Linked DNA regions of Rhinolophus ferrumequinum. The protein of the gene in region 1 purifies or fractionates together with the protein of each later gene. This does not show direct contact. Links are inferred from orthologs where the notes say so. Each region holds a gene or a part of one and is shown in the gene's direction. Other genes may lie near its edges. The genes, in order: PPP2CA, PPFIA3, CCT4 and CEP43.

Evidence for each region.
Region 2: the proteins of PPP2CA (region 1) and PPFIA3 purify together in Homo sapiens (affinity purification with mass spectrometry; 4 studies listed by BioGRID and IntAct, with this or other methods). This does not show direct contact. The link is inferred for Rhinolophus ferrumequinum from reciprocal best matches to the Homo sapiens genes PPP2CA and PPFIA3.
Region 3: the proteins of PPP2CA (region 1) and CCT4 purify together in Homo sapiens (affinity purification with mass spectrometry; 4 studies listed by BioGRID and IntAct, with this or other methods). This does not show direct contact. The link is inferred for Rhinolophus ferrumequinum from reciprocal best matches to the Homo sapiens genes PPP2CA and CCT4.
Region 4: the proteins of PPP2CA (region 1) and CEP43 purify together in Homo sapiens (affinity purification with mass spectrometry; 3 studies listed by BioGRID and IntAct, with this or other methods). This does not show direct contact. The link is inferred for Rhinolophus ferrumequinum from reciprocal best matches to the Homo sapiens genes PPP2CA and CEP43.

The regions. Positions count from the first base shown.
Region 1 is NC_046307.1:10,228,615-10,236,124, reverse strand, and holds the start of PPP2CA (serine/threonine-protein phosphatase 2A catalytic subunit alpha isoform), read left to right. Parts: upstream 1-4,336; 5' UTR 4,337-4,796; coding exon 4,797-4,898; intron 4,899-7,510. UniProt on the Homo sapiens protein: Catalytic subunit of protein phosphatase 2A (PP2A), a serine/threonine phosphatase involved in the regulation of a wide variety of enzymes, signal transduction pathways, and cellular events.
Region 2 is NC_046298.1:44,416,164-44,423,848, forward strand, and holds the start of PPFIA3 (liprin-alpha-3), read left to right. Parts: upstream 1-4,533; 5' UTR 4,534-4,566; coding exon 4,567-4,806; intron 4,807-5,063; coding exon 5,064-5,165; intron 5,166-5,552; coding exon 5,553-5,717; intron 5,718-6,081; coding exon 6,082-6,156; intron 6,157-6,666; coding exon 6,667-6,741; intron 6,742-7,060; coding exon 7,061-7,282; intron 7,283-7,685. UniProt on the Homo sapiens protein: May regulate the disassembly of focal adhesions. May localize receptor-like tyrosine phosphatases type 2A at specific sites on the plasma membrane, possibly regulating their interaction with the extracellular environment and their association with substrates.
Region 3 is NC_046296.1:27,349,820-27,357,959, forward strand, and holds the start of CCT4 (T-complex protein 1 subunit delta), read left to right. Parts: upstream 1-4,798; 5' UTR 4,799-4,953; coding exon 4,954-5,080; intron 5,081-8,140. UniProt on the Homo sapiens protein: Component of the chaperonin-containing T-complex (TRiC), a molecular chaperone complex that assists the folding of actin, tubulin and other proteins upon ATP hydrolysis.
Region 4 is NW_022680354.1:1,061,600-1,069,515, forward strand, and holds the start of CEP43 (centrosomal protein 43), read left to right. Parts: upstream 1-4,820; 5' UTR 4,821-4,925; coding exon 4,926-5,027; intron 5,028-5,665; coding exon 5,666-5,719; intron 5,720-7,916. UniProt on the Homo sapiens protein: Required for anchoring microtubules to the centrosomes. Required for ciliation.

The DNA.
Region 1 (7,510 bases):
GGGAAGAGCTTTCAGGGAGAGGGAAGGCAGAAGAATAGGCTCTATTGAAATGCTTTGTGAGGAGGCCATGTGAGAAGGCCACAGGAGAGGTGAAACTTCTTTTCACAAGAAAGTGGGGCCCTTGCGTAATATTCCAGAGAGTAGTGGAACACTGAACAGAACTGTTGGCTGCGTGTGCTTTGGGCCTGTGATTCCCTTAAGAGGTACTTGGTCACGTTTACTCAGACATTCTGAAGATTTTCTTTTCACGATTATAAAAGCAGTATGTTTTCATTACAGATGAATCAAGTAACTAAAAAGAAAATAAAAAACCAATCCCACTCGCCAGAAGCAACTGACGTTTAATACCTCTCATAAACATATATTTATAATACATATTTAATAAAATTAGGATTATAGCACACATGCTGTTTGACAAGGGACTTTTTTTCACTTAATAATATACTGTGAATAATATTGTCACTAAATATACTTCTATGGTAAGATTTTGGATAGGTGCAAAGTTGGTGACAGTATTTTTAAGGTTTACCTAGCCTTCTGGAATGATGAACTTTGCCTTCCATTCCAGAGAGTTTTGTGTTTTTTTTCCTGTAGTAGAGAAAAATATTTCCTCTGTAACTGAGAATGGTATCTGGATGTCAAGGACATTAGCAGGGGACGTGGTCATTTCTCTTTTTCTTTAAACTGCAGTCGCTAGGGGAAAGGGCTGTAGTATGTCTATGGCAAGTTCCTGGCCACAAAATTTTGGCCACACTTATAAAGTTCTAATTCCAGGTGAAAGGACAAAAAAGTTGAATTTTTCTGAAAATCCCAACAGAGAGCAACAGGGATAGATATCAATGAGTTGCAAACACCATCGTGTATCCTGAGTGCAGAAATCTTCTGGTAGTTAAGCAGGTCTAGTTGGCCAGATTAGGGCAGGTTTCTCATGGGCCAAGCCACTAAAATGTTGATTGCTCAGGTCTTTATTTTGGGACGTCTGAGGCATAGAAGGCCTAGATGCGAAGAGCATGTTAGCAGATATGGCACCCTTTCAGATACAGATTCTGAGCTGACAGGAGCATAAAACCGACGAGCTGTATTAATTCTTGCATTTATTCCTCAGTGATTTTCTCTCTACATAATAAGCCTTCTAAATGTTTGCTTGATGGCAAGGGAAGAGAGGGGTTTTCTTTTTTATCTACCTCTACTTCTCTTTGTTTGAATTTCCTCCCTCATTTCTACTTCACCCAATGGCTTTGTGTCTATATGATGTTTTTGATACCGTTACTTTCTGTTTCCAAAAACCACTACGTATTTCATGGCAGGCATCAAGGGGCTCTAACTGGCATTAGGATATTTAGAATCAGAGACCACTTAGAAATAAAAAGAATATTACCTAATACCTACTGGACATTTATTATATACCATATGGTGTTTTACATTTATAACTTCATTGAATTCTCAGAAGAATCCTATTATTTGGCTGTTACAATTATCCCCACTTTATAGATGAGAAAACTGAGACTCAGAAAAGTTAGGTAACTTGCCAAACTTCACACACTGAGGCAGTTGCAGAACCAGAATTCAAACCAGGTCGATCTGATTCCAGAGCGGCTTCTTACCTACACAGTTCTCCCTTCTGTCTCAGTAAGTTTAGAATTCAGGGAACTGGAAGGAACAAAACAAACCTAACAGAAGACCGAGAGAGAATGGCTGATAAGATACATCGCATTCCTTCATCATGTTTAATGTTAATTTTAATCTGTTGGCTTAGAGCGCCTATTATAAAGTTATTTGCTCAAGTTTATCTTCTTCCCACCCCACCCCATCAGATGATTTTTATTTAGAGCTATGTTTGAACATCATAGGCGACTCGCTGTATACTGAACTTGCCATCTGAGCAAAGACTCTTTCTCAAAGCATAGTTGCTTCATTCACTCTCTGGTTTTTGCCAAGAAATTAAAAGGAAAATTTTTTTTGGTTTAACTTTTTGTTCCAAGTATTCCTCAGCTCTAGAATTGAGACGGTCAGGTCCAATTAGTCAAGACCAGACTAATCACACTGAATTTTCAGATCCATTAGCTGTTTTGAGTTCCACAGAATCAGAAAACATTCTAGATTTCTTCTAAAGGAAAAGACATTCTGATTTAGTTCTATGTTGTTTATAATCATGTATGCTTTACTTCACTGCTTGAATGCTAGTAAGGCTTCCTAGAATTCATTGCTTAAGAAGTCATGGCATCTGATTATTTGGCAGGATGTTTTAAGTATATATAATTATGTCTTCTCTCCATTTTGTGATGGTAGTAAACCAAGTAATCGGCATCAAGAGAAAATAAATAATACCTACATTAATGCGAGCAGCAAGGAGCTCACAGCACCTTGGAAAAACCCACTCATTACAATCTTAGTACATAGAAGGTGCTCAATAGTTTTTAATATACCAAAGTCACATCACCTCCACCTTTGTAGATAAAAGAACTCAGGTAAAGGAAATCATATTGACCCTATTCCATATTTCAATCCTTGTGTGAGCGAGGCTGAGATCTTGCACTTGAGAATATGAAGATTTAAATCCTGATGACTACTTTGGGCAAGTCCTTTCTCTTTTCTGAGTGCCTGTCTGCTTCTTGCCCTATGAGACAGAACCAGTTCTCACAAAGGTACAGGACAACCTGAAGAATAAGATAGCCCACTGGACCTGGCTTTATAATCGTGGGCACCGAGTGATGACTTTTTTCCTCATTCATTCTACATGGTATTAACTCTTACTCCTCTATTATTTAGGGACACTAACTACAAAACGTGGCCAGATTTTCAGCGAACAGAACACTTCCCAGTCTAGTAAATTAACTATATTATAAGCCTTTGGAGAGTAGATCTAAGGTACTTTCTTGGGCATACATACTCCTGGGAGGTACAAAAGGAAAGCAGAATTGCAATTTGCAGCCTGGGAAGGCTAAGCCAGTCAGCCTGGCCAGGCAGGTCGTCTTTGCTGACGGAAAATTTTCAGTCCCTCCATTGGTTGGTCTGGGCTTCTAGGGCCTTCTCCTTCAGAGCTGCAGTGAGCTCCCTCCTCCAGGACATCATTGAGCACTTGGGTGGAACAGGGTCCACTGCTATTGGGGATAGGAAGTCTGGAAGACAGGACACCAGGGTCAACGCTTGCCTTGGGCTGTAAGGTTAAATGTCCTTTGCTAAGCTTCGCTCAGATCCTGTGGACACCGTAATCTCTCTTCTATCTATCTGCAGACCATTTTAAGAGTATTGTTGGGAGAATACAAGTTCCACCAGGGCATGGACTCCTCTCTTAGGCGTGGGATCTAGCATATAGCTAGCCCTTTACGGAGCCAAATATAGAGGGTGCCAAAAAAAAGTATACACATTTTAAGAAAGAAAAAAACTATTAAAATTATAAATAATATATACCAATAACAAAAGATAAATACAAGTCATGAATACACTTTTTAAGCACCCCTGGTATTTCTGTGAGTGCAGGAACAATGGAATGTGAAAACATATGGCAAACCTCAAGGAGATCCATAGCCAGACCAAAGTCGGACCGCAAAGTATCCAAGAATACTTTAAAGCACAGATCGTAGCTGTTTCTAACACCACCACTTGCCGTCAGGACCTATGCGTCCAGATATCTCCTTATCGCCTTCCTCTAGAAAGCAGACTAGGGCGTGCAGTTGTGTTGTGTGTGTGTGTGTGTGTGTGTGTGTGTGTGTGTGTGTCTAGAGACGGGGAGAGTGTCTCTCATTCCCAGGAGAAACCGGACTCTGAGGAGGGGCGCACACCTGTGGCGGAAGGCGACAACGGGCGAGGCTGCAAAGGGCGTGTGGAAAGTAGGTGAGGTCCAAGGTCGAGAGAGAAGCCCAAGCCTCGGCCCTGCCATCGCGCCCGACGAGACACCTAGGCCCGAGACGGGTGTGTGCCGCGGGAGTCAGATGCACGTGTGGCACTCCCCCCGGGAGGTACACCCTCCTCCGCCTACTAGTGACCTAATTACAAGGTGCCACCCAGAGACGGAGGTGGCATCCAACTGGGCTACCACTCGGCGCCCTTTCCCGCCGTCACAGATGCCAGAATCCTATGCAATTTCAGCGCTGTTGCACCATGGAGGAATTGTGGGGTCGCAATTCTCATTTCCGTGAACTGGTCGCCGTCGCCGGGTGAAGAGCCGCAAGGCAGCACCTTTGGGAAAAAGTCTCTGGCAGCTGGGAGTTCTGCTCCCGTCTGGACTGCGCCTGCGCCAGGACTGCGCCTGCGCCAGGTTCGCGCCCACACCGCGTAGGACACCGTGCTCTGGGATTAGCCCAGTTCCAGGCTGCGAGCCCCGCGCTTGCTGGGACTCGGTCTCCCTTCCCCCGGACCTCACCCTTCTGGAGGACCACGCCCTAAAAGCGAAGGTGCCTGTTACTAGCCGGCTCCATTGCGCCTGCGTCTTGGGCCCTGGTCCCGCCCCGACTCCGGTCTGGCGGCCGACTAGCGTTGGCTCTGCAGTTGCGCAGCTCGTTCGGTCTCTCTGCTACCCCTCCGCACCCCGCCGCCTCCTGACGCCGGGCGTGACGTCACCACGCCGGCGGCCGCCATTACAGAGAGCTGAGCTCCGGTGCTAGAGCGAGCGGAGGAGGGTAGCGGCCGGTGGCTGAGCACTGCGGGGCGAGCAAACAAGCTAGCGCTAACGCCGAGCAACCTCCAGTAGCCACACAAGTACCCCGGGAACCGGCGGCGGCGTGTGCGTGTGGCCCGTGTGCGGGCGGCGGCGCGGGAGTAGCGCGGAGCGGCAGCCGGTTCGGGCGGGTGGCATCATGGACGAGAAGGTGTTCACCAAGGAGCTGGACCAGTGGATCGAGCAGCTGAACGAGTGCAAGCAGCTCTCCGAGTCCCAGGTCAAGAGCCTCTGCGAGAAGGTGAGCTGCACTTCGGCTGCGGGAGCGGCCGCGGTTGAGCCCGCCAGGAAAGAGGCGGCCGTGGGAAGGGTGCAACATGGCGGAGGCCGCCGGCCCGGGCCCCCTGAGCCTCCCAGACCTGCGTCCGGCTTGGTGCGGCCCCGCGGCGATTCCCGGGCGACCCGGCGCCCCCTGCCTCCCGCGCAGGGATTGGATGTCGCCGCCACTGCCGCCTAAAATGGCGCCGTTCACCCAACTCCGGGGCTTCGGAGCCTCCCGGCCTAGGTGTCGGGCGGGGTGCTGTGGGAACTGAGACCCTGTGTGTCAGGGTTGGGGACGGTTTTGAGAGCCGAGTAAGAGGACTTGGGTTCTACGGCCTGGGAATGGGGCTTGAGACTCTACTGTGAGGTGGCTAAGAGGCCTTTTACTTGTGTTCGGGACGAATTTTCAGCTCCAAAACTATCTAGAGGATCCCCCAAAAGGCAAGCAAGCTTGTAGGCCAGATCCCAGGACCTGTCTAAAGGTCATACAGCATTAGTACTATCCTGGGTGGTTGGGGCTAAACACACTGAGCAGTCTTTTCCAGAGACTTTTTTTAAAGCGTGTTTCTTAAGAATTTAAAAATAAACCTCTAACCTAATGTCTACGAAGGTCATGGTAAAATATAGGGAGGAGTAGAACTTATTTTTCATAGTTGGAAGAAATGGAGAATTTGGTGAGTCATACATACTGCCTAAGGAGTTTGGGGATTGGAAATCAAGTGTCAGTTTAGTCTCTGATTTATATGCTGACTCAAGTTGGGTAGTGTGAAACCCTTCTCTAAGCTTGGCATTTTGCCATTTATTTTTTAAATGCAACAAAACCAGCAAATTTTGTATCCTGGCTCTTCCTTGGAAAAGTTACTCGTTTGTATTTTTGTGGCTTTAAGTAGTAATAGTATTAATAATAATAGCTGTCTATTGAGCCTTTCCTGTATCCGAGACTTTGTGCTTAGTGTTTAAATAATTTATCTCCCGTGTTGAAAATGGAATCTTGTAGTCCATTTAATAAGTCCATTTTAATTTCCGTTTTCAAAATTAACTTGGAAGCATTTAATTTTTAGTACAGGATTGTGGGATATCGTATTAGAATTTTGTATTAGTAAAGAGAGTTATTAGCAACTATGCTGACTCGTTTGTGGTTAGATGTGAAAATTAGGTTCATGGGTTTGGTGTATATGCTCCTAAAACAGGCTTTTTCGGAAACTATACTGTAGATTGCAATGTGACTCAAACTCACATTTATTTATCCCAAGCCTGAACAAAACTCGCCTAGTTGATGAGGTGGCACATTATCTATTAAAGCTTCGTTGTAATGGTAGCAATATGTTGAGTCTTGTGCTTCTTGACCCTTAATTCTACTGTGTCAAATGAGGATAGTGTTTATTTTAAAGGTTCAGAAATAGGCTTTAAAAAATTATTCAGTGTATATTATTAGGTCTTAGGTGCTTTACATGAAGACTTTGAGTCATTCGTTGGGTAGGTGACTAGTCATTTGTGTAGAAAATATTGGAAGAGAAGTAATGATGTAATTGGAAGACTGACTGCAAGTTCCACCTGTACACTAGAATTCTGCCACAGTAATTGACCTTGGAGCAACCACTTCACTTGGTCCACATTTTCTTGTCTATAATAATAGAGTTAAAACAGAAATCTGTTCCAGGGTCTCTTCTAATCTGAAATTATACAATTCCATTTTAAATTTGTACTTTGTGTTTGTATTGAAATCCAAGGTTGCTTACTCTTATGAGGGGAATGGAAAGCAGCACAGAATAATTTTCTCAAGGAGCCTGAATCTAGTTGGAGACCAGTAGATGGACCACAGTAGTGTAGAGGGTTTGTATTGGAGACTATAGAAGATAATATTGCATGGTAATTTGGATTGGCTGAAGCTTGGTGCATCTGGTAAAAATGTTCATTGTTTTCCACGTCTTTGAAAAATTAAGATGTAGTGAGATTAATCAATTTATTCTTGGATCTCCATTGTTAATCCAGCGTGTCTGGATTTCAGTTTTTAGAGCCAAAAAGATGGAAGTAAGATTGGAAGTTAGGTTTCCAAGAAATGGATCCTTTTGGGGGGGATATCACACAGCCTTCATACTTTTTTTAACTCATGAATATTTCAACTTTTGGTATTAATCTCCCAAACTAAATTAATTTGAAGGCAGTTTTTTAGGTATGTGGGATGAGTTAGCATACATGACTTGAAATTATCTTTTCTACAAGTCTTTCTAGTAAAACAAAAGTTCTCTTTTCACTGTTAATATTTGTATGGTCAGTAACACATCTGGTGAAAGCTACATATTTTGAAAATCTCGATGGGAAATTTTTTTTTCATTAGTACAATAGTTCTTTTTTAAAAGAAAAGGTACTGGTTGGAAATAGCTATTTGGTAATAATTGATAATTTCTTTGATTATGAGAAAGAAGGAAGATTTTAAAACCTTCCTTCTGTATACCTGAAAATGCCTGATCTGAATGAAATATTTAAACAGTAATGATTGAAGCATAAGAGGTCATTGTGATTAAAAAATGCAGAGGCCACTATTGTGGTGGTTCATCAACAATTAACGGGTAAATGTTCAAAATGCAGGGA
Region 2 (7,685 bases), on another chromosome or scaffold:
TACCCCTCCCGGCCCGTGCGGAGGCGGGGTTTACCGCCGGCCGGCACCGACGCTGCCTCCCATTGGCCACTAAGAGCCGTCTGTCAGTCTCCTTTTAAAGGGGCCACGACGGCCGGGGAGCTGTGGGGGGGAGGGAGGAGGAAATTTTTTTGGGGGGGAAGGTGGGATTTGGGGGCGCTGGTGGGCACCCCTGGATCTGGCGGCTGCGGCCTCGTGGGGGAAGGCTGAACGGTGACAGGGGTAGGGGGCTGTTTTAGGGGGTAGAGGGCTGTGAGACCGTGAAGGGGAGGGGGTCCCCAGCGCCCAAGCCGGAGCAAGAGACGCGGAGCCCGCGCGAGCGGCGGAGACAGGGCTCCGGAGCTACAGATCCGGGCCCCGGCCGCCGCCAGGGGCCCCGCCCGGTCCCCCCACCCCACCCCACGTCCCTCCTGCAGCCCAGCTCCGCCCGCAGCCGCCGCGGACCAGGCAGGTAAGAGCCCGGCCCGGCCTGCCTGGCAGCGCCCACCCCGGGGACCCCTCGCCGAGTTTTCCCCACATCTCCGAGATCCTAGGTTCCCTTCTTCATACCGGGGGACCTCAGAGCCCAGATTTCACAGCCCAACCCCAGAGAGTCAGGCGTGCCCATCCCGGCTCTCAGAGTCCCCAGCCGAACCCTAGAATCCCAGGCGTACTGCCTCCTTGCGCTTCTTCCAGGGCCCAGGAGCCTGGATTTCAATTCAACCCTGGGAACCCCTCTGGACCTAGATCCTCCTCCTCAGCCCAGTCCCGGGAGCTCCAGACACCCGCCGCGGCTGTGTCACACTCCCTCGGCGAGGGCTAGCCGTCCCCCGTCGCGTCCGCATAGTCCCCCATTCGCGCACCCCGTCTGCCCATCTTCAGCCCTCTGGCTTGAGCAGCCGGCCGCGTCCCTCAGTCCAGGCCGGCTCCGCGGCCGCCCTGGACACAGGCCGGCTCTGGAGCTGTCCATGGTCAGAGTACTCGGCAGCCTCGCTTCCCCCACCTCCTGCTGCCGCCACAGGAGAGGGGGCGCCGGCGGCGCGGGGATCCCCCCCGCAGCGCCTTTGACCCGGGGATACCCGGGCCCTCGCCGACCTGAGTGCCTGGGCCTCAGGGTCCCGCTGGCCAGGCTCTCAGCCTCCTCCTCAGCACCCCAGGTTTCCGGGACCCCAGCACCTTCCTGAGGAGTCAGGGCTTCTGAATGTTCCTGCCCCGTCCACCTTAGGGACCTTGGCATCAGGGTATCCAGATTCCCAGCCTTTGCCCCCTTTAGAGTTCAACAGCCCCTGTGCCCCTCAGACAAATATACCCAGCTTCCTAGGACCCCAGCATCTGCCCCGTTAGGGATTCAGGCGCCATGACTCTCTCCCTTTCAGGGACTCAGGATGCAATTCTTAATGCAATTCTTTGGCATCTGCCCGCCCTTCCCCCTGGAGACCTAAATACCTTGTCCCCAGTCCTGAATCCCCTCAGGCACCCAGGCGTTCAGATCTCAGCTTCTGTACTGGCCACCATCCTTTACCGAGGCCATATGCCCCAGCTCTCCTTCCCAACCCCCTGTCCTTTACCTCCACAAGGATTCAGGAGTCCAGGCCCCCAGTTCTGCCCTCCCCCCACCCACGTATCTAGTTCCTCAGCTCTTAATCTTAGGAACCCAGGTCGCCACGGCCTCACAATCCCTCCATCAACTTGACATTTCTGGTGGCCTTGACAAACCCGTTTCATCCCTATTTCATCTCAGCTGCTGGGCTCCCTGGGACTCTATTCTCTCCCCTCAGACCCGGCTTCTTGAGATCTTTCCAGCACCTCATTGCCTTCTGAGGCCCATATCGTGATGTCCCATCCTCTGAGTACACTCTCTCAGGCTTGAGCCAAACATACATGCCTTCCTCAAAATGTATTCTGTGACCTAGGCTCATTCGATGACCTAGAATCTACCCACTGTCTTCCACATTTCTGGTTAAACATTGTCCTTGCAATGCTCCACATTCTGGATTCTTTCTAGATCCTGAAACACTCTCAGTCAACATCTCGGTTCTGTCCTCACCCAAGGCATGTTTGAAGTTCTAGGTTAGATGGTAAATTCTAGGCATGTCTTTCCCCAAATGAATTCAAATATCTAGATAATCCCCCACCAAGCCAAATTCAAATCCTACCATCTTCTCAGATATGTTCCCAAGTTTTAGTACCAGTCCTTGTTTATTCTCTGCTAAATTTTCGTTTTAGGTGTGTTCTAGGTTCCAGCCACATCCTCGGCATTGTTCTAGACTCCATTCTCTTCCCAGAGGCATTCTAAGTTCTAGAATGTGTATCTTCCAAATATGTGCTGTAGTCTTTCTCCAAATTGTGCTATCAGTTCTAGAATACACTTTCCCACTTTAGGTTCCATTCCGTTCTACAGTCTTAAATCTAGAAGATTCCCATTGAAGTGCTCTACCTTACAACTCCCTTCCTCAGGTCTAGACCCTAGGCCCATCCATTCCCACTTTCTCTGCCCATCTTTTCCTTAGGGTGATGTTAGTTCAGAACTTGTCTCCTGGTGGACTGTGTGCTTCCTCCTCCATCTGCCATTTGAGCATTCTAAGCATGCTCTAAGCTCTCTGCTCTTCTGGAGTCTTCAGCCTAGAAATGTCCTCATTTCCAGAATACCCCACCTCGCTTTTGCCAGCTCAGTCCTTATAACAGTAAATTTTCAATTCCCAGCATGCATCTTTCTGCATCTTCCCCCAGGCATGTCTGAGTTCCAGGCAAACTCCTTGATACTTTCTAGGTTTTTCTTCGCCTCCAAGGCATGTTTTGAATTCTAGAGAACATCTTCTGCATTCTGAGTTCTAACATTATCTAGACACATGATTAAACCAAGGATGCAACCTTTGCTATATTCTGTGTTATATTTTCATCCGTAGTAGGTTCTGAGTTCTAGATTGTCTCCTGACTTGGCTCATTGAGCATTTCATTAGGTATGTTCTTAAATATAATTCTGGGGTCACCCAGATGCTCTTTAAGTTATTGATTGTTCTTGGCTGGTTCAATGTTCCAGACCTGGGTTCTAGAATATGCCCTATGTGCAGCTTTTACCCCAAGCACATTGTAAATGTGGAAGCGTATGTCCTTTTTCCACTCTGTACTGTGTCTACATGCCAGTGGCTTTCTAGATTTTTGCCCTGCCTTGTTGTGTTTTGTTTCCTTCTCAGTGAATTTGAAGTTCTAGAGCAGCCTCCCAAAAGAGCCTGTGTTGCATCTCCTGAGTAGGTTCTGGGTTTTAGATACAATGTTGTTGTGGGAACTACAGCTGGCCTGCTCTCTTCTAAACATTTTCCTGAATCTGGCCTCTGAGTGTTAGGATTCAGGTATCTAGATTCCCAAATGCACCTGTTCAAAGACCCAAGGGACACAGCTGCCTCCTCTCCCAGGTCCTGGGGCCCTCAGTCCCCTCCTCTCCTCACAGGAGTCCAAGGCTCCAGTCCCAGGCTCTGGACACAGTCCACACATTGGGTGGGGCTGGGAATTATCTACTCTCAGAACCGGTTATGCTGCTGCCAGAAGGGAGAGACGGAAAGGAGGGAACAGCGTGAAAGCCCCTCCTGCTTTCGGCTGGGCCAGCTGGACCTGTCTGACTTGATGTGTGCAAGGGAGCGGCTCAGGGCACCTCACTTCATCTCTGTCCACAGCTCGTGTATGCAGACTCCTGGGTCCTGGAGTCCTGGACTCCTGGGTTCTGGGACAGGAGAGGTCTGAAGTCTGGGATTTCTAGGTCTACAGTTAGAGGTTGAAAGCCCAGACTCATGTCCCCGGGGGAGGAGGGAGTGTGGTCTCGAGACTCCTGGGATTGGGAAGGAGGGGGCTGGAGGCTCAGACTCCTGAGTCTGGGAGAAGAAGGGGACTCCAGGACCTAGAATTCTGTGACCCGAGGAAGGAGGAACTGGATCCTCCTGGACACCTGGGTCATAGGAGATGGCTAAAATGCCCTGATCCGACCACGCTTCCCTCCACCCCCTGCAAGTGGAGTGGGTCTTTAGATTCTTCTGGAACTGAGGTCCAGATGAGAAATGGAAGGAGGGAGGAGTTGGGCTGGAGAGCAGGTAACCGCGTGCCAGTGACCTAATTCCGTAATCCCAGTCCTGTGTCCTCCTGTAGTCATGGTTCTCCGCTGGGGCTCAGTTTTCTCATTCATGCAGTGGGTTGATTCTCAGCAGGGCCAAAACAGGTAGAGACTAATTTTTCCACATTCACTCAGGCAATGCCTGGATCATCCGGTTTCGGTTTCTTGGACTAGGCTGGGCCTAGATTTGTTGCCAGTGCCTGATGGAGTCTGACCTCGGTTTCCCCAAATGCTCTCACACAGGTAGCCAGGCCTAGTTTCCTGAAAGCAAAGGGTTTCAGTTTATCCTGTGCCATGATCAGAATGGACAGGCCTTAGTTTCGTCTGCGCAATGCCAGGGTGGACCTGCTTCAGTTTCCTCTAAGTAATATCACAGTGGTCGTGCCGCATTTTCTCTGCCTGTCCCTTGACAAGGCCGGTCTCTGTTCCCTGCCCCTTCCCCGCACCTGCAGGCCAGCACCGCCGCCATGATGTGCGAGGTGATGCCCACCATCAGCGAGGATGGCCGGCGGGGCTCTGCGCTGGGCCCGGACGAAACGGGCGGCGAGCTGGAGCGCCTCATGGTCACGATGCTCACGGAGCGCGAGCGCCTGCTGGAGACGCTGCGCGAGGCGCAGGATGGGCTGGCTACAGCGCAGCTGCGGCTGCGCGAGCTGGGCCACGAGAAGGACTCGCTGCAGCGCCAGCTCAGCATCGCGCTGCCCCAGGTCTGGGCGGGGCCGGGGCCGGGGCGGGGCCTGCGGCAGGCGGGGTCTCGACAAGAAGGCCGTTCGGAGGGGCGGGACTTGGCGCGGAAGGGCGGAGTCGGGGAGGCTGGCTTTGCCGATGACGGGCGGGGTCTGAGCTGCTAGAGGGGGCGGGGTTTAGTCGAGAGGGCGGGGCCTTCAAACTCCCAGTCCTGGGCAGTGAGGGAGATAGGGGGAGGATTGATCTGATTGTCCCTATCCTGTTCACATCTGGACAGGAGTTTGCGGCTCTGACGAAGGAGCTGAATTTATGTCGGGAGCAGCTGCTGGAGCGGGAGGAAGAGATTGCAGAGCTGAAAGCGGAGAGGAACAACACGAGGGTGAGGGGTGTTGGGGTCGGGGCCTAAGTGGGGTGGGCGGGGCCTCAGGTGATGCAGCCTGATCCATCTTTTTTCCGCATCTCACCTTCTTGTCTTCTCCTCCTTGTCCCCACTTCTTGGTTGATCCCTTCTGGTCTCCTCCTTCCTTCATGTCCTCTTCCCTCTCTCCTCCATAACGGTCTCTTTTCCTATACCACTCTACTCCTTCCTTGACCCCACCGGTACCTCTGATATCCCTGTTTTCTTGACCTGTTTCGCTCTTTACCCCTTTGCTTGGCTCCCCCTCTTTCTCCATGTGTCCGCCCCTCCTGTCGGAACCACCTTTTTCTTCTACCCTGCTTCTCTTCCCTTGCCTCTTTTCTTTGGCCTGGTGCCCTATCTCTGTAGCTTCTCTTGGAACACCTGGAGTGTCTGGTGTCCAGGCACGAGAGGTCACTACGCATGACCGTGGTGAAACGCCAAGCCCAGTCCCCTGGCGGGGTCTCTTCCGAGGTGGAGGTGCTCAAGGCTCTAAAGTCCCTCTTCGAGCACCACAAGGCCCTGGATGAGAAGGTATGAGAATGGAAGAGCCTGGGTGAAGAATGGAAACCCGTGGGTTGTTGGTGCTGTCCTGAATTGGAGAGAGTCTGGCTGTGATTGGTTGGGGATGTCCTAAGTGGGAAGAATGTTGCCTGTGATTGACTGGGACAGGCTATGCAGACTGGGACTTTACTGGTTGATAATGGAAAAATTAACTAGGATGGGGGCTACAAGTGGGTGGGGCAGCTTTGGTAGCGGGTTGGGGCTGCACATCCATTATGGATAGAAGAATCCTAACGTTGCACTATCAGGCCCTTCCAAGAGTGTTCTGCATCATTGTCAGCTGTCCTAGATTGGATTTGATCTCCATCTCATTCCTGTTCTGCCCCATTCCCAGGTCCGGGAGCGGCTGCGGATGGCACTGGAGCGGGTGGCAGTGCTAGAGGAGGAGTTGGAGCTGAGCAACCAGGAGGTGGGACATGGCCAAGAAAGGGAGGGAGGGAGGGTCTAAGGAGTTCCCAATGAGGTGGAGCTGATTTGGGGTTCCAGAATCTGTTGGAGGCAGAACTAGAGCAAAAGGCCAATAGAGTTGGACTATGAAGAGAACCAGTGGGGTCCCTAAGGAGGAACTCACTGGGCAGGGCCAAGAGGAGAACTGCCCATTGAAAGTGAGTTTAAAGTGAGAACCATGGGCCGGGGATAACAGAAAGAACCCACTCCGAAGGAAATGGTTGGATGGGGAAAGTCAGGATAGAAGAGGACATCTCCACCAGGAGGCTAAGTGCAAGAGTAAGGCTGGGCACGCTTCCTGTTAGGCAGGTAAGGAGAGATATAAGGAGAGCACAGGGTCTAAGGGTAGACTGTAGGGTGGGGGTGGCCCCAGCAGGACTGGAAGTGTCTATGACCTCTCCTTAGAGAGCTGGTGCCAATGGGAAATAGAACTAATTTTCCTTTTGTCCTGATATCCCTTTTTCATTCCCAGACTCTGAGCCTTCGAGAGCAGCTGTCTAGACGCCGGTCAGGGCTGGAGGAGCCTGGCAAGGATGGGGACGGACAGGTAAGAAGTGAAAATCCTTTGTTCCCCTTGCTCTTCATTGATCCCCATCCTTGTGACCTCCACTCAGCCCTCTAACTTTGTGATGGTCATTTTAATTTTGATATTATCCTCACAGACCTTAGAATATCTGAACTCCTAAGACCTTACTGGCCTTTGACCTTTGATTCAGGTCCCTGATTAACTTCTGTGACCTCCATGACCCTTACTGATCTGTGATTCACTCTCCACCCCCATCAACTTTCTCCTTGCATTCCCTCTATACCTCTGTGTTTACCCCTTCTGTGTTCTGTCCCTTTCTTTCCCACTGTCTCCACTCCAGACCCTTGCCAATGGCCTGGGTCCTGGCGGGGATTCTAACCGGCGCACAGCGGAGCTGGAGGAGGCCCTGGAGCGGCAGCGTGCAGAGGTGTGCCAGCTGCGGGAGCGCCTGGCGGTGTTGTGCCGCCAGATGAGCCAGCTGGAGGAGGAGCTGGGCACCGCCCACCGGGAGCTGGGTAAGGCGGAGGAAGCTAACGCCAAGCTCCAGCGCGACCTCAAGGAGGTGAGGCCAGGGCCCCTAGTGGGCTGCTGTCGGTACCCCTCTGCCCCCATCCTCCCCTGCCCCTTTGGCCAAAGTCACAGAGCTCATGAATGGTGGAAGCTGCATTTAGTCCACAAACTATAGATTCTTCTCTCCTCTCTGAGCCTGTTTCCTCACCTGTAAAATGGGACTTGTGATCTTTGTCAGAGGGTGGCATGTGGCACATACATGATAGGCATTCATAAGTGATCATAGTTATGTTATCATTGAGAAATTCTCTTGTGCCTCTAAATTGAATTCCTTTGTCTGCATTTCAACCCATCCTGGTTTAGGCCCCTTGATCCTAACTCCCATGTCCCAGGGGCTGCTGGGAAATGTAGGGCATGGATTCTCAAAGGCCCTGGATGAGACAAAAGAGTGAGTA
Region 3 (8,140 bases), on another chromosome or scaffold:
TTTATCCAGTATTTGCCTGAAGTCAAGAGGCATTCTTTATCATAGAAAAGATGTAACACACTTCTTTCCCTAAAGGAATTAATTTTCTAAAAGGCAAATTCAAAGATACTTTTATGGCTCCAAAAGCGAATCTGAGATAAACTATGCATTGTGTTCAGTGTGCCCACAGTAGTTGCAGAGAATGGTCGATGTAATGGAAAAATAAAAGGGTTATAAGTGGAAACAGCATTATTAAACACATGACTTCCAAATTACCCACCAGAAAGGCTGTATTCATTTATTTCCATGAAATCTTATTAACACTGACTGGTATTATTCTTTATAATCTTTGCCATCTGATACATGAGAAACATTATCTTATTGTTTTAATTTGTATTTCTTACATTTTAAGAGTGAATCCTTTTATATGTATATATTTATTGACTGCTTGTATTTTTTACCTATTTTCTTGACAATTTTCTACAGGGCTTTCAGTCACTTCAGCGATTTCTAAGAGCTCTTTATACATTTGGAATATTGTTTGTCACCTATATTGCAATATTTTCCTTGGGTTTATATAGTTGAATCTATCAACCTGCATAGAAAAAGTCTGAAAGGTTATTCACCAACATGGTTATAGAGTATGCCTCTGAGTAATTGAGGATGGTTTATATTTTCTTCTTTCTGCTTACCTGATTTTTCTAAATATCTACAGTGTACATGTAATACTATTGTAATAAAAAGTTAGGTAATGAAAAGATAAGATAGTTATCCTAAAATCAAACTTCTTTTAATGAAAAGCTTTAAAGGAACATATGTGTTCTACATGACTGAAAAGAGCTAGGCACCTTACATAGTGTTTCCTAAACGTTTTGATAACATTTTCAGAATCTGATAGAAGCTTTCAGAATCTGATTGAAGCTTCAGTTACTTTCCCCTCAAAACACAAATATACACCAAATGTACCCTGCAATATCTAGGCATGAATTTACCCTTCTGAAGTCTTTCTATAAACCTCCTAGTTTTCCATTTGCCTAAGAACTCCCTCTCAGCATTTGAGCAGCTCTAATTAATCCTCAACAGAAATAGATTACTCTTTTAAAAGCAGGGGAGCAATCTGTACATCACTACCACTGTTTAACTCCTATTCCAATGTATGTAATACATGCACATATCACTGCCTGCCTGAGCCTACAGCAAGTTCCAAAACACGGAGGTGTTCAATGAAAGAAAATCATCCTGTGCCACCAGGGGCTGCTACTGCCAATGCAAATGTTCAAGGTTGGTACCAGCCGCATTTTTACAATGCCTTTGAAACAAGGGGCTCAAAGCACAAAGCTTTACTTTATTAAATCTCAAAACACAACCTGTTTCACAGACAACAAACCTGGGCCTAGGCCTATTGAAAGGATTGCTTAAGCAAAGAAAACATCCTGAAGCCTTGGCTCAAGAAGAAACTACAAGCACCCAATAGCAGCCCTCCCGGTAAACAGGTTTCCTTTTCATTCTTGCCAAATAGGTTTCCATTCTCAAGTTCCATTAAACAACTGGTACCTTCCCCGATTCAACTACCCTTTCATGGCTCACAAGCTATTTGTTCCCAGGCCAGCAATAGGTATTTTTATAAGGTTCCCCATCTCTGAAAGCACTAAAACTTAAAATGTGTACCGAAATAATTTGCAAACACAGGCGCCCCAAAGTTTTGCAATACATTCTCCCTGTTCCCTATTTCTACTCCACCTTTTCCAATTCTACTTTAAGTACCATTCACTCTCCACTCAAGCAGCTCCTTAACAGATATTAGTCGGGAGTTTTGGGCCATTCTGCTAGGCTCCAGGGGATACAGAAATGAATATGACACTGTGCCCTAAAATCTTACATTCTGGTAAGGGAAAATTATATGCAAATGAAAGGTAGCAGAAAATGCCACCCTAAAATATGCCAATTTGGCATAAGGATTATTTTGAGCTGAAGGCAACTGAGAAGAAACAAATACAAGAAAAGCTCCAGGCCCTGCTTGCCCTAAAAGCAGGACATAAATTTTCAAAATGTGTCCCTCTTCCTCTGTCTACCACAGAAAAAAGTTAATCCCAGGAGACAACATTAAACCCTTATTAATGAAAAAGATACCAATTTAAAACTGCATAACAAACCTTACTCTTGTTTACCTTGCTTTTTCTGGTTATCTCCCCATAACTAGCCTTTCTGACACCTATCTTCCATCCTTGGCTGAAGATGGTACATAAATTGGAGTTCTAAATCACTGTTTTGAGTTACTCCTTTTTCCCTGGGTATCTCACATGTATACATGGGGTATACATGTTAATAAATTTGTTTGTTTTTCTCATTAATCAGTCTTTTGTTATAGGGGGGTCCCAGACAAGAACTCAAAAGGGTAGAGGGAAAATTCTTTTTTCCTCCTCTATATAAACAAATTATTAAAATACAATGAACTAAGATTGTTACTACTTAGTACTTAGAAATAACTAATATCAGATTTGGTGGTGGAAGAAAAACATTAACTCAGCTTCAGTAAGTCAAGGAGAAGCCTAATGGTGACGTGTTGGAAGAGGTAATTTGAGAGGACATGACCATTGGTTACCCTGCAAGCTGGACCCAGGCAATCAGAGGCTCCTCAGCCCCTTCCCCTGTCCTTAGCAAGTATGTCCTTGCCCACCATTCCCACAGTAGGAGCAGATCCAAGGACACAGCCATGAGATTAAGATGTTGAGAACACCTGGGTGATATACATGACTGAGCCCAGTTAAGGCTTCTATATAAACTTTAAGATTCTGGTGGGCAGGTGCAAAGATCTACTCATCTTGTGAGGACCCAAGACAAGCGCAAAAATAAGTTTCCTTGCTTACTAAAACTGCCACCTACCTATCTGGAGTGGTTTGCCTCTTTCTTCAGTCTCTCTCTGCTCTGATTGTGGGAAGAGGGGTGCGGTGCTGGTTTCAGATTTCACTCAGGAAGCTCCTCAGATTGCAAACCAACAAACAGCTGGACATGTTGCAGGGGAAACAGCATGTCCCTACGTATAAAGGCATAAAACAAGAGTGGTGAGACCCATAGTATAAGGACGGGGTTCAGGACACACTACCCTGTGGCATGTTGAATATTTGAAGAAATATGAGAAACAGAACTTGAGAAACGATAGGTACAAGAACACTGCCACGCCCCTCTTTTCACCTGAAGCAGGTAAGACCCTCATGTGAAGTGTCCTCCCAGAGCATTCCTGTCTCCAAAGACGGTGGGAGGCCCAGAGGAATCTAAATTGAACAAGCCTTGCTGTTTCCCCAGTTTATTACCTTCAGCTCACAGCCTTTTGTCCACATTTTCCCACAACTTTCCACTCTTCATCAAATATAGTAAAAAAAAAATTCAGATTTAATCACTTTTTCAGGTGTTCATTTCCTTATTAAGGTTCAAATGGCACATAGAACTTCTATTAAACAAATCAGTATGCTTTCTTCTTGTTAATAATGTCTTTTGTTACAGAGCCCCAGCCAAGAACCTAGAAGGATAAAAGGAAAAAGATATTTTCCTGCCCTGCAGTAGCAAGAATGGAAATAGGAGCCTAGGGTTATAAACCTGAAAAGATTAACAGGGCTTGGGTCATACATAGAGAGGGAGAGTTTACACATAATGCAAATTTTCATATTTGGTCGTTGAGGAGTTACTGAAGGGTTTTAAGCAGGGGAGTAAGAACATCAGATTTGAGTTTCTAAGATTCCTTTGTGGTAGCAGTGTGCCAAAGGAACTGGAGGAGCAGGGGAGGCCAAAGTTAGACTGTCACAGTAATCAAATGACGTGGGTCTGATCTAAGGCTATGGTATCTAAAGGACAGAGAATATGAGACGGATTCTTGATATAAAGGAGGTAAAATTAGAAGGCTTTGGATGACAAATACATGGTGATGGAAGGAGAACTGACTCTGGGTGGTGAACACACAATGGGATTTATAGATGATGTAATACAGAATTGTACACCTGAAATCTATGTAATTTTACTAACAATTATCACCCCAATAAATTTAAAAAAAAAAGGCTTTGCATGAGGGAAGAGAGGGAAGAACAAAAGGAATCAAAGACCTTCAGTTGTCTTCTCTACTATGAAAAAGGTAAGGGCACCTATTTCATATTTTTGTGAGGATTAAATGAGCTAAAACGTGTCAAGGGTTTAGCACTGCGCTGAACTGAATGATCATTATTAAAATACTTAGGCTCTCTAAAAGCCAGTGACTACGTCATTTAGAATAAAATAGTGTTAAGGCGAGGGCATTGTACTAACTAGTGAGGCAGTCCTGATTCGGCAGGCAATCATAGCTCTAAAACTTTTAAAATTCTCTACTATTTAACGAGGGTGTATTCAAACTCGGTATCAATCAACAGGAAACAACCCCAACACTTAAAGCAAAGAAACCACCCATCCCAAATCTCTCTCCTGATTCCCTTGCAAAATGAATAAAACTGAGTATGATACAGGTACATGAGGACGGGCAACAGCCAGCGGTTTAGCCCCACGCGGTCGGGAGGAACACGCAGCGTACCACACCCCGCAATCACGTTTAGTTCGAGTTAACGCAAGGGACCTCACAGCCGAGGACCAGGAAGTGGGAGATGTGGGTGTCCCGAAACCCGCCTTTAAAATAGCGGGTTGTCCGATCTGCCTCGGAAGAGTCCGCCCCACCCCGGTGCCGACCCTGGACCCCGAGCGCCCGGGGCCACCATCCCTTGCGAACCCCGAGTTCCCCGGCTCAGTCCCCTTACCCGGCGCGCGGCGGGCAGCCTGCTACGTCATTCCGGCACCGCGCCGCAAGGCAGGCCCCCTTCTCCGCCTCCTCCGCGCGGAGCCGGCGCTGCTTTCTGGAAGGTTCGTGAAATCGTCGGTCCCGAACCGTTACTCCGAAGCCAGGCGGAATCCGCATCCATCCGTCCTCCCGGAGCCCACGCAGACCCAGCCCAACTTGCCATGCCCGAGAACGTGGCACCTCGCGGCGGGGCGCCCGCCGGGGCTGCTGGCGGCCGCAGCAGAAGCGCCTATCAGGACCGCGATAAGCCGGCCCAGATCCGCTTCAGCAACATCTCTGCCGCCAAAGGTATCGCTCCCCGGGTCTGACCCGCGACCCTGCGGGGTCGAGCTGTGCGCTCTCACCCTGTTACTGGGTTGGCGTGGCTCATTTTTTATTCCGTCAGATGATCGTCTCTTGTCTGCCCTTCAGTAGAAGCATCTCTGTGGAGGGAACCTTATTGTTTTCTGCCGATAATTCCTGGCCCCGAGTATGGAGGCCTGTGGACTTACTCCGGGTCTTAAACGCTCAGAATTTTTCACCCTCGCTCACTCATCACACATCAGCAGCCAAGGCCCGCATGCCGCGGTCCCTTGGGTTCTGACAGTTTAGAGCTGTCGCTTATCTTGCTGGTTCCACTGGTAAAACGTTTGCACAAGACTTTACAGTTTTCTTGGTCTTATAAAAATATCACTAAAATAAGCCAAGCACGGCACAACTATTGAAACAAATTGGGTATACTCTTCATGCTTAAGTTGGGGAGGGACCCTCTGTTTTCGGTTGTGGGGAACAGACCCGTCTTGTTTAAGAGTAATGGTGGGACGATACATTTTATGCCCGCTGCATGTGCAACCAAACACAAGCAAATCAAGAAACATGGACAGTTTGCTGTTTTGGTTTTTTTTTTGTAGAACACTTTGGCATTGGTGGAAATCAAGACCCCGAGTTTCATTCTCTGTTACCATTGCTTACTGGCCTGTGACCATTAACTTCTAACCAAGGTGTCCTTACCTGTACTATAAATCGAGGAGGAAAACGTTTGTTATTTTTTTTGAGAGTTGTGAGGATTAAGAGAAATCGAGTTGAGTTAGAGTCTGGAAGGAAAAGGCTTCGAGATCTTGTCTCTGATGTGTATTGAGTACGGTGAGTATTTCATTTGGGTTAGAGAGTAAGGTGCATGAAGAAGTGACAGATGAGATTGGAAGGGTAAGGTGGGTCCAATCTTGTAGGGCCTGGTGTCCAGGACAGGATTTGGCATAACTCTCACAGCTACAGATCATTCTTCAGTAGAATGAGGTAATAGCTAATTTGCAGGGTTTCTGTGATGATTAAATAAAAAAGCATATGAAAAGCTGCATATATAAAATACAGCCTTACAAACATTTGAGATTATCAGCCCAAGTGACTGAAGGTATGATGATGCCAAAGAAATACATATACAGCAGGTCCTCAAATAATGTCTTTGTTCAATGTGGTTTCTTTATATTGTTGATAAGATGCCCTAGGAACTTAACACTTGTTTTTCTCAATTAGCCTGTGGTAAAATTGGTTTTATGTCTCTTGGCCAGAGTTCCAGGAGCCTATCAATGACATTAAGTCAGGACTTACTGTACACTGGAGAAATGACGGTGGAATAAAAGAGAATAGTTTCTAATTTGGGCCTAATGAGTTGGAGAGATCAGAATGACCAGATGGGTAGATTTAGGAGTCATTTGCAAGTTCAGGAGAGAACATATCCGCTAGTAAAGATTTGGTAGATGGTTATCTAGGAAACATAGTGGAAGCTTAGATATATCACATTAGAAATAAGATGTTAGATAAATTCTGGAGGGCCAAAATAGCTATATAATATGGTAGATTTTGGTAGCTATATAATACGGTAGATTTTCAACAAACAAGGAAGGTACAGAATGGAAGGTTTACTTTGGTAACCTTTGAAACAGCAGTGAACAGAGAGTTGAAACTGGAACAAGGGAGGTATGCATGTAGGAAGAAGAGGCCACCTAAATTACTTATAATCCTGACCTTTTTAAGTAAGCAGAGCTCATAGAGCAAAGGGACACAACTAGTCTTTCCAAGTTAGACAAAACCCTACAAACTGATGGAGAAAAACTGCTGCCATGTGCATAGTTAGTTTAATTTGGGGAACCAGTTTTTTATTTGGGTGTTACCAGAAAAGTTAATAGTACCATTAATTGATGATGTGAAAAACCACACACACAAAATAGTAGTAGTTCTAGTACTGTTCAGTATGAATCGTTCAACAGACAATATACTATGTGCCACTTTCAGAGATGTAAGCAGTCTAAAATCTTTTGTTTTGGATGGTGTATCTAGAGTTTACATATAGATGAATATAAGGGCGTTTTTAAAGTATATTAGTGTGCTTGTAGAATCATGGCCATGGGGGTCCACTAAAATTGCCTGCAAGGGTAATAATATTGATTGGGTAATTAGGAACAGCCCCTAACTGTGAAATAAGTAGGAAACAATTTTTAAGTTTTACCAAATATTTTCTCTTTAGCTCTGTAAGATTATATATCATCGACCACACAATATGGGGAAAATCATTATGCTAGTTTGTGGAGCACACAAAAACGATTAGGGCACAATCTCACCCCTGTGTATATGGAATGAGATGGTTATGTGAGAAAGGGGAAGATTTAATTATTTGTCCTGGACTTGTCAAAGAAAAGGGGTCAAGTACTGTTCATCAATTCTAGTTTCTCTTAAAAAGTAGTAAGTGGACCATTGAAACATTTAGTAGTCAGTGGACTAATGAAAATGAAGTAGAAACATTTTCATGGTCAGATAATAAGAATAAGTAACTTTGGAATGGTAGACTATATCCAGAGATGTTTCATAACATACTGATAAATGACTGAAAGCTATGATTTTAGTTTTGTTTTTTTTTTTTGTTAACATTTGGGTTTTTTATTTTTTGCAGGTGAGGATCAAAGGTTGTTTCTTACTGTGGGCGATCTACATATCAGCTTCACATTAGTGAACAAAAGTCTTTGCCCTAAGAAATTATACTCTATAGTTAGGGAGACAGAGTAAACAAGTTAATTATATAGTAAGAGGGCTAGCCTGTCCTATTGTTGCTTGTCTTATTTTAAAGAATGGAGAAAAGACTAGAGTCCACAATCAGAGCTAGACTGTATCATTTTGATATTTAAAGGAAAATTAGATAAATCCTCAAGAGTTTATTCTGCCAGAGGCAGAGCATGAATGCTGTGTATAGTGACTTTAACCAAAACGTGAAATATGTGTCATACAATTAAAGGAGTAAATTATTCTGTTTCCAGTAGATTGTTATTAAACAATGAATTTTCTTTAGTGTACACAGTGAATGGTTCTACACCTTCT
Region 4 (7,916 bases), on another chromosome or scaffold:
GGGAAGGTAGAATCACCTTTCCTCTCTCGTTTAATTAAATTACATTCTGTAACTACTGGGAGGAAAACATATGGTGGAAAGAGTATGTGTTGGGAACTGAATAGACTTGGTGGTTAATCTTAGCTGCCAGCTGTGTCACTGGATAAGCTACCTAACTTTTCTGAGCATTAGTTGCAACAAAATAACAAGTAACTCAAAAAAAAAAACATCAAGGAGAGAATGAAATGAGGTTGTACATACAAAACAACTACTAACAGTTAATACTTATTGTATGTTCTGTGCTTCAGACATTCAGTTCTACCTACGTATAGCAATCATTCTATCATTCTAACTACCTGCACGGGGAGATTTTTACCCCGTTTACAAATGGGAAACTGGGGCACAGAGAGATTAAGGAACTTGCTACAGTCAACACCACCAGAAGTGAATTTGAACCTGTGTCGTGGGGCTCAAAAGTTCCTTCTGTAACCGCTACACAAAACCTGGTATCAAGTCCTTGTTCAAATGATGAGCTAAGCAATTTCAGTAAGTGTGATAACTATTCCAATGGGAGAGACGCAGGCTTCTTCTCCTTCCCCAGCATGCTGCTGGCTTTTGCACAAACTATAAAACATTTATGGAAACACATAGGCCATTGAGCACCTTAATCATTCTCCACCTCTATGTAAACTATCCCGACCCTGACACACACAGGATGGCTGACCTCAAGAGAGAAAGCATGGATATTCCTAAGTTCACACTGAAAGGCTACCACCGTGGTTCAGTACACCTTTTCTATGTTTGACTGTTAAAGACACAGGGACTGTCTAGGCCAAAAATGTGCGACTGGGAAGTCAAAGGCATTTCCCCTGCTCTGGCCTCCTGCGCTCCCTGTCAGAGTCTGGTTGCAGAGTTGGTCCCTGTAGCACATTTGTAGCTCAGATCCATTCTCTTCTCTGCACCATCGCTGCAGCATAAGTCCAGGTCCTTCCTCTTTTTTTTTTTTTTTAAAGGCAAGTTGTCTTTAATTTTAGGTGTCAATCTGAAATATGCTGAATAAGTATATGTTCACACAAAAGCTTGTATACGAGTTTTCATAGCAGCATTGTTCTTGACAGCCCAAACTAGGAAACAAGGCAAATATCCATCATCTGATGAATAAACAAACAGCGTTGTAATACAGGGTCTCTGGTCCAGCCCTCGGCAGGTGGACAGAGAATATGGTGAGGCCAAAAAGGAACACCCACGGAGCCACAGATAGGGGTCATACCACTATATTCTCAATGGCAGCTGGTAGAGATACAAAAGTAAACATCCGCCAGTACCCCAACAGGGGGTCTTCCTGCACCCCAGTCTCACTGGCAGCCAGGCCCAGGCAAGACACAGGAAGTAGGATCAACAGGATCCGCAATCTGCCATCCGTGCTTGCTAACCCCACTTGCTAGCTGCAATCCGCACTTGCTAGCATAGCCACGGCAGTTGAATCAGTGGCCAATGGCTAACTGGTTACAGCTGATGGCCATCTGATCACAGCTGATGGCCTCTACTACCCGAGCCAGCACCTTTCCACGTGAGGTCGAGGGCCTGGAAACTGCTCTCTGGGACTCTGTCCCCACAGGCGTTCATCCATTCAATGGACTATTACCCAATATTGGTAGTAAAACATTAATCGTTGGTAGGAAATGCAGTAGGGACACAGGCTACAACATGGATGAACCTTGAATACATTAGGCTACGTGAGAGAAGCAGGTCACAAAAGACCACGTTATATGATTCCGTGTATAGAAATTGACCAGATAGGCAAAATTACAGAGACCTCAAGTAGAGTCATGTTTGCCTAGGGCTGCGGAGTGGGGTGCAGAGTGAATGCCAGTGAGTATGGGGTTCCTTTTAGGGGCACGTAACTATCCTACAACTACAATGTGATGATGCTACACATTTCCGTAACTACCAAAATCATTGTACACTTTAAATGGATGAACATATATTTGAATTATTTCTCAATAAAGCTGTGAAAAAAAGAGCATCATGTAGAATAGCTGGGATGAGGAAGTGAATTAAATAACATAAAATCGTCAACTGTGCAGTTGTTCCTTCTTTATAATGTTCTAACATAAAATATGGAGACCAAATTGGTAAAAATAAGAACAAGCTAAATGTGAAGCACATAATTAGTATCACATTTAAGGGCATTTTTTTTCATCGTTTTAACCTTAAACCATCAATTTTGGTGAGATATGAAAATTAATAAGTTAATAGCTGTCTTAACTGCCAAGCCAACCAGTGATGCATTTCCCATTTCTTCCTTCTTAATTTAAGGCTTATTTGGGATATTCTTTAAATGTAATAGTATGTTTTCCTTCAATTATTAAAAATTTTAAGCAACAATATTAAAAGTCCCATGTTTACGACTATATAGATGGCGACATCTGCAGCCTTAAATTCCTCAAGGAAATGGATGTTTTCAGACAGAGCTTTATTAATTTACTTTATTAATTTTATGATAGGAAAAACGCATGTATTTTAGGGCAAATTCCCTCATTATATAAGCCACTCCCCAGGAGTAAAGAGGTACATTAACTCTTTTGATGAAGCAGTAATTGAAATAATTAATACCATAGTGACTTGGAAAGTTATCTTCTAAAGCTGCTAAAAGAAATGAAATAGAGAATTGTAGTTTAGCTGACAGAGGAGCTCTAGTTGCAGACCTAGAAAAAGTCAAATAAGAATCAAGTGTGACTATTTAATAAAGAAAATCCCACGTGTTTCCAATAAAAAAAAGAATCAAGCGTCCCTTCCACCGCCATCACTCCCTCACCCCCGCCCCCACTCACTCACTCCTTGTTCCTTTCACTGAGCCCCACCCTGCCCCCCCCAACCCTCCCTACGAGGTCCTTTTACTCTGGCAGGAGGTTCGCTTTTCATTACTTAGCATGTTTACGCTGCTTACATAACACTTACCTTTTCATTGTTTAGAATATTAGGAAAAGTTCCTCTCTTTCCCGGATTTCAGTATTTCAACTCGTAGGAAATGAGCTGCATCATTTTCTGAGTAACTTTTTGATCTTAGACAAACCTTTCTGAGTCTCAGCTGGCTCATCATATCATCATCTACAATGTTCATGGTTATCATGCAGATAAAGTTTAATGATTTACTGCATGGAGCTTAAATTATGGCTCATTGTAGATGCTAAATGACAGCTGTTCATTGATGGTCCTCTGTATACATACGACCGTACTGAGTAGTAACAGTGTCACAGAAGAAGTATGCTGCAGTCTCCGACTGACTTTTAGGAACTTACATTCCTTTCTTAAAAAAAAAAAATGTAATTTTATTATTTCTTTTATTACATGCATGTGGTAATAGGTTCAAGGAATTTACAGCTATTCCATATGCCAAGAAATTAGTGAGCTCTTTCTCCTTGAAATCTGATGAAATAATAGAATCTGCACAGTAAATTTTCTGTAGAATTCCTGATAAGCGACAGAATCTACACAACAAATTTTCTTTAGCATTCCTGATAGGCGATTAACCTTCCTTTTCGAGTGGAGTCCAGGCCCGTCTTTCTCCCCACTGGGCTCCTGGATTGTTCAACTGTCTCCAGTGTCACTGCATCCAACTCACCCCTCCCCTCTTGCTTCTGGATGCTTCTAAAACCCAAATGAGCTAATGTCACATTCCTTTTCAAACCATGTTTAGCTTGCTATTTCACACCTTCAAGATGAAAGTCAAACTCATAGTATCAGTGGCTAATGCCCTTGCTGATCCATTGACTTCCTGTCTCCAGCCCACTTGCCATCCCTGCACAGAGCACACTGCCCTGTGCCTCTTGGCCTTGGTGCTCTGGGCTGTTAGGCTCTGTCTGCGCAGAATGCCCCTTTCTTTTTCAGGCATCAGTAAACCCCCCACTACGATTGTGTATCTCACGTCAAGTGTCCTGTCCTCCAAAAAGCCATCCCTGTCCCTTGGTCGTGCAGGGTGTTAGGTGGGGGTCTCCTGTCCCGTTCCCCGCACAAGAACGCAGGATGTGGTGAGGCCTAAAAGGAACACCCATGGAGCCATAGATAGGGGTGTCATACCACTATAGTCTCGCTGGTGGCTGGGTTGGAAACACAGGAAGCAGGAGCCACACTATCCGCAATCTGCCATACACTTCTCTGTCAACCAACCAACCCCACTTGCTAACTGCAATCCACGCTTGCTAGCTCAGCCACCACCTTCTTGCCAGCCCCCATTTGCTGCTAGCGTAGCCACTGCAGTTATATTAATGGCCAATTGCTCATTGGTTACAGCTGACGGCCAACCAGGCACAGCTGACGGCCATCCAATCACAGTTGATGGCCATTTACTACCCTAGTGAGCACCTTTCCACGTGAGGCCGAGAGCCTGGAAACTGCACTCCTGGCTCTGTCCCCACAGACCTGCTTTACATGACTAAGTCTGGGATAAGGGGCTTGGTTTGAGTGCCCCAGAAGCAGACCAAGAGACAACAATTGAGTGTAAACAGTTTTTTGGGAGGAGATCCCAAGAAACACCGGTGGGGTAGTGGGGAAACAGGACAAGGCAGGGAAGGAAACGACAAAGGCTGTGCTATCAACTTACTTGTCTGAAACGTAACTTACTTTTAACCAAGTGGCCCCGCCCCCATCCCACTGCCTCACTCCAAGTTCCCGGGTCCCCCCGCCCCCAAGCCAAGGACCCAGGGCCTCGCTCCGCCCCAAACCCCGGCCCCGCCCTACCCGATCCATGCCACAGCCCCGCCCCTGACGCCCCGCCCTAGGCCCCGCCCCCGGCGTCAGGTTGCGCTCCGAGGCCCCGCCCCTGGCGTGAGGGGCTGCGCACCGGCGCCGGGGCGTGGTCTCGTTCGCGTTGCCGCACGCCGCGAGAAATCTGCGGCGGCCGTTGGCCGTTGGCGCGGCTTGGCCGGTTGTCTTGGAGAAGCAAGATGGCGGCGACGGCGGCTGCGGTGGTGGCGGAGGAGGACACCGAGCTGCGGGACCTGCTGGTGCAGACGCTGGAGAACAGCGGGGTCCTGAATCGCATCAAGGTGGGGCGGGAGACCGGGCCGGCAGGGCCTGGCGGAGGGGAGGCCGGCCGCGCCTGCGGGCCGTGGAGCATGTGTGGACGGTTGGCGTCACAAAGGGACGCGGGGTGCGTCAGGCTGGCCTCCCGGGCAGGGTCCGGGCCCGTGGGCGGGGGCGGGCGACCTCGGGGGTCGAGGGTCACTCCCAGGGAGACCCCGGGCCGCGCGGCGCCTGCGGGAGAGGAGGCCGAGCAGCGGCTTGCGGGCGGTTGAGTCGCCCGGCGCTCCTCGAGTCCCGGGCGGTGGCGGGGTTCCCTCCGGGTCGCTGTAACTGGCGGGCTGCCGGCCTGGCGGGGTGTTTCTCGGCGAGTCCAGCTCAGACCTGTCGGGGCTCGTAGGCTGGGCTAATCCGGAGGGTGGCTGCGGAGGGACAAGGCCAAGGGGCGCGGAGAGCTTGGGGCACTGTTCCAACGCCTCTGGGGGCTTTTCTGGCCTCTTTGCACCTGCCCACTAAGCATTGTCTTGCCAGTGTGCGTTTTTGACTTCAGATGGTGTGGGTGGTGCCAGTGGAACTGAACGTCCTATGCTTTTCTTGTCCTGAAAATTGTCTCGAAGCAGTTTCTGTTCCATTACCCCCCAACTCTCCCCCCCTTTTTTTAAAGGCTGAACTCCGAGCAGCTGTGTTTTTGGCACTAGAGGAACAAGAAAAAGTAGAGGTATGAAATCTACGAATTTTAATATGACTATGTTCATTTTTGTGTCGTTTCTACTTAAAATCCATTGTAAAATACTACACGTGGTCGTGGGCACGCAGGGATCATTTTGAACTATTAAGGATTACGTTTCTTTACAATAGAGTGAACATTAACCTTTTTGTGTATATTTCAGAACTTTGGGACAATCTGAGGAAAGTTAAGGAACCACAGTACTCCTGAGGCCAATCTGAATCTTAAGTGTCATAGATCCTCTTGTATTGGGGACATCTGAAACACAAGGTCATGGGAGCTAGTGGAAGAAATGCTTCTATTCTCAGAGTTTACTGCAGGACTCCTCAGAACCTTTCCTATGCATTGTGAATCCCCACCAGCTGGGGGAAACACAGTATGCCGGTTTTCCCCAAACTGTCAAGACCACCTAGTTATTTTAAAATCATGTCATCTTTCTTGCTGTCACAAGTCCAGCCTCCTCTCTGTATTTAAGTGTTTAGTCTTTTCTCCCTACTGCAAGTCTCACCACCACCCTGAGTAAAGGTCCTGGATCCTTGTCCACATACGCACTCCATAATGAAGGTCTTCAGCTTGTTCTGTGACAAATCAGCCTCCTCTCCTGTCACTTCTTCAGACCTAGATGCCTGTGCCTCTCTAACCTCATGAACCTCTTCAGCTCTTGGCTCTTGGGTGTTCATCCAAGCATCAGTCCTCTCTTGGCTGCCGTTCGGCCCTGACTGGTCTGGACCCCATGGTCCAGATCTCCAGAAGCCTGACTGCCTGGCCTTCCCGCTATACTTGGTAAATCTCATTGGTCACTTAATTCAACAAACTAACTCCCTTCTTGTTTGTCACCCAAGCCTGTGGATTGCTGGTGTCACTGAACGGTGGTTGCAACCTGAGCAGGGCCCTGTCAGGCCCAGGCCTCTGCTGTCTGCGTAGCAGCTCCCACTCCAGCCTCACCATAGCCTTCTGCCCGACCCCCTTCTTCATCTTGACAGCGGGTCTTGTCTCTCCCTTGCAGGGAAACAGAAGCCTCAGGCGTCAAGCCCTCACTGTGTGTGTCCTCCAGCTACCCTGCGTCTGCACGCTGCACTTCTTTCCTTCCTGCTTGCTATCGGAGGCTCTTTCTTCACCAAGAATCATCACTTTCTCTGGGTTTGCCGTGCTGGTACTCTCGGCTCCTCCCTCTTTGTTGGCTCTTTTGAGCGTGGAAACAAGTTTATATCTCAAGGAGAAAGCTGTTGCCCTCGTCTCATGTTCTGCTTTTAATACCACTTTTTTCCCCCCACTGTCAAGTTTTGAAAGAATGTGTATGTCTTATACGATTTATATTCCAGGCACCTTTTAATCCATTAACGTCTTATGCTACACCTTAGTACTTTCTTTTGCTGCTGTCAAGAAGAATCCTAAGTGAGTATATGTTCTTACCTATCTTAGTGGCTCTTTGTGGCATTTGACATTCTTAATTCCTTCTTCCTTCCTGAAAATCTTTGAATTTTGGGACTTTTTTCTCTTTCTTTTTCCTTTGTGCATTCCTTGGTTTTTGCAGCATGACCTTTTCCTGGACACCGCACTTGAATTCTTGGTGCAGTATCCACAGTCCCTGTCTGGGTTCTCTGCCTGGGTGACCTTGACCACCTCAGTAACTCAGCCCTGTATCTCTGGGCCTTATCGCCCTCCTGAGCTGCCGACTGTAGGTCACACTGTTTGCCTACGGGGACCGTCACTTATCCAAGTTGGAAATCCGAGAGCCCTTGCTCTTCTTTCCACATGTCTGTCAGTTCTGTACCTGAGGTGTCTGAGGAGGTTCTCTGCTGACCTCCTGGCCTGCGCTTGATCTTTCCAAATCACTTGACCCCTGCCTTCTCTCCTTCACTGGTAGTCCTGACGTCTTTCCTCCACATCGCTCCTAGACTGGCTAGTCCTAACTCACGTTTGATCTTGCCCCTCCGTTTTCTTCAAATATTTCAGTTGACCCAATGTCTTCAAATTTCCTGGACCAGCCTACTGAGGACCTTTGTGATCTTTCCCCTTATCTTTTTTGGGTTTTCTTAAAACTTGATTGAGGTACACTTGACCTACAGTAAACTCAGCATACTTAAAATGTACAATTTGATACATTATAACATACTTACGCACCCATGGCACAGTCAAGATGGTGAACATATCCATGACCCGCAAAAATTTCTTCCAGCCCCTTGGT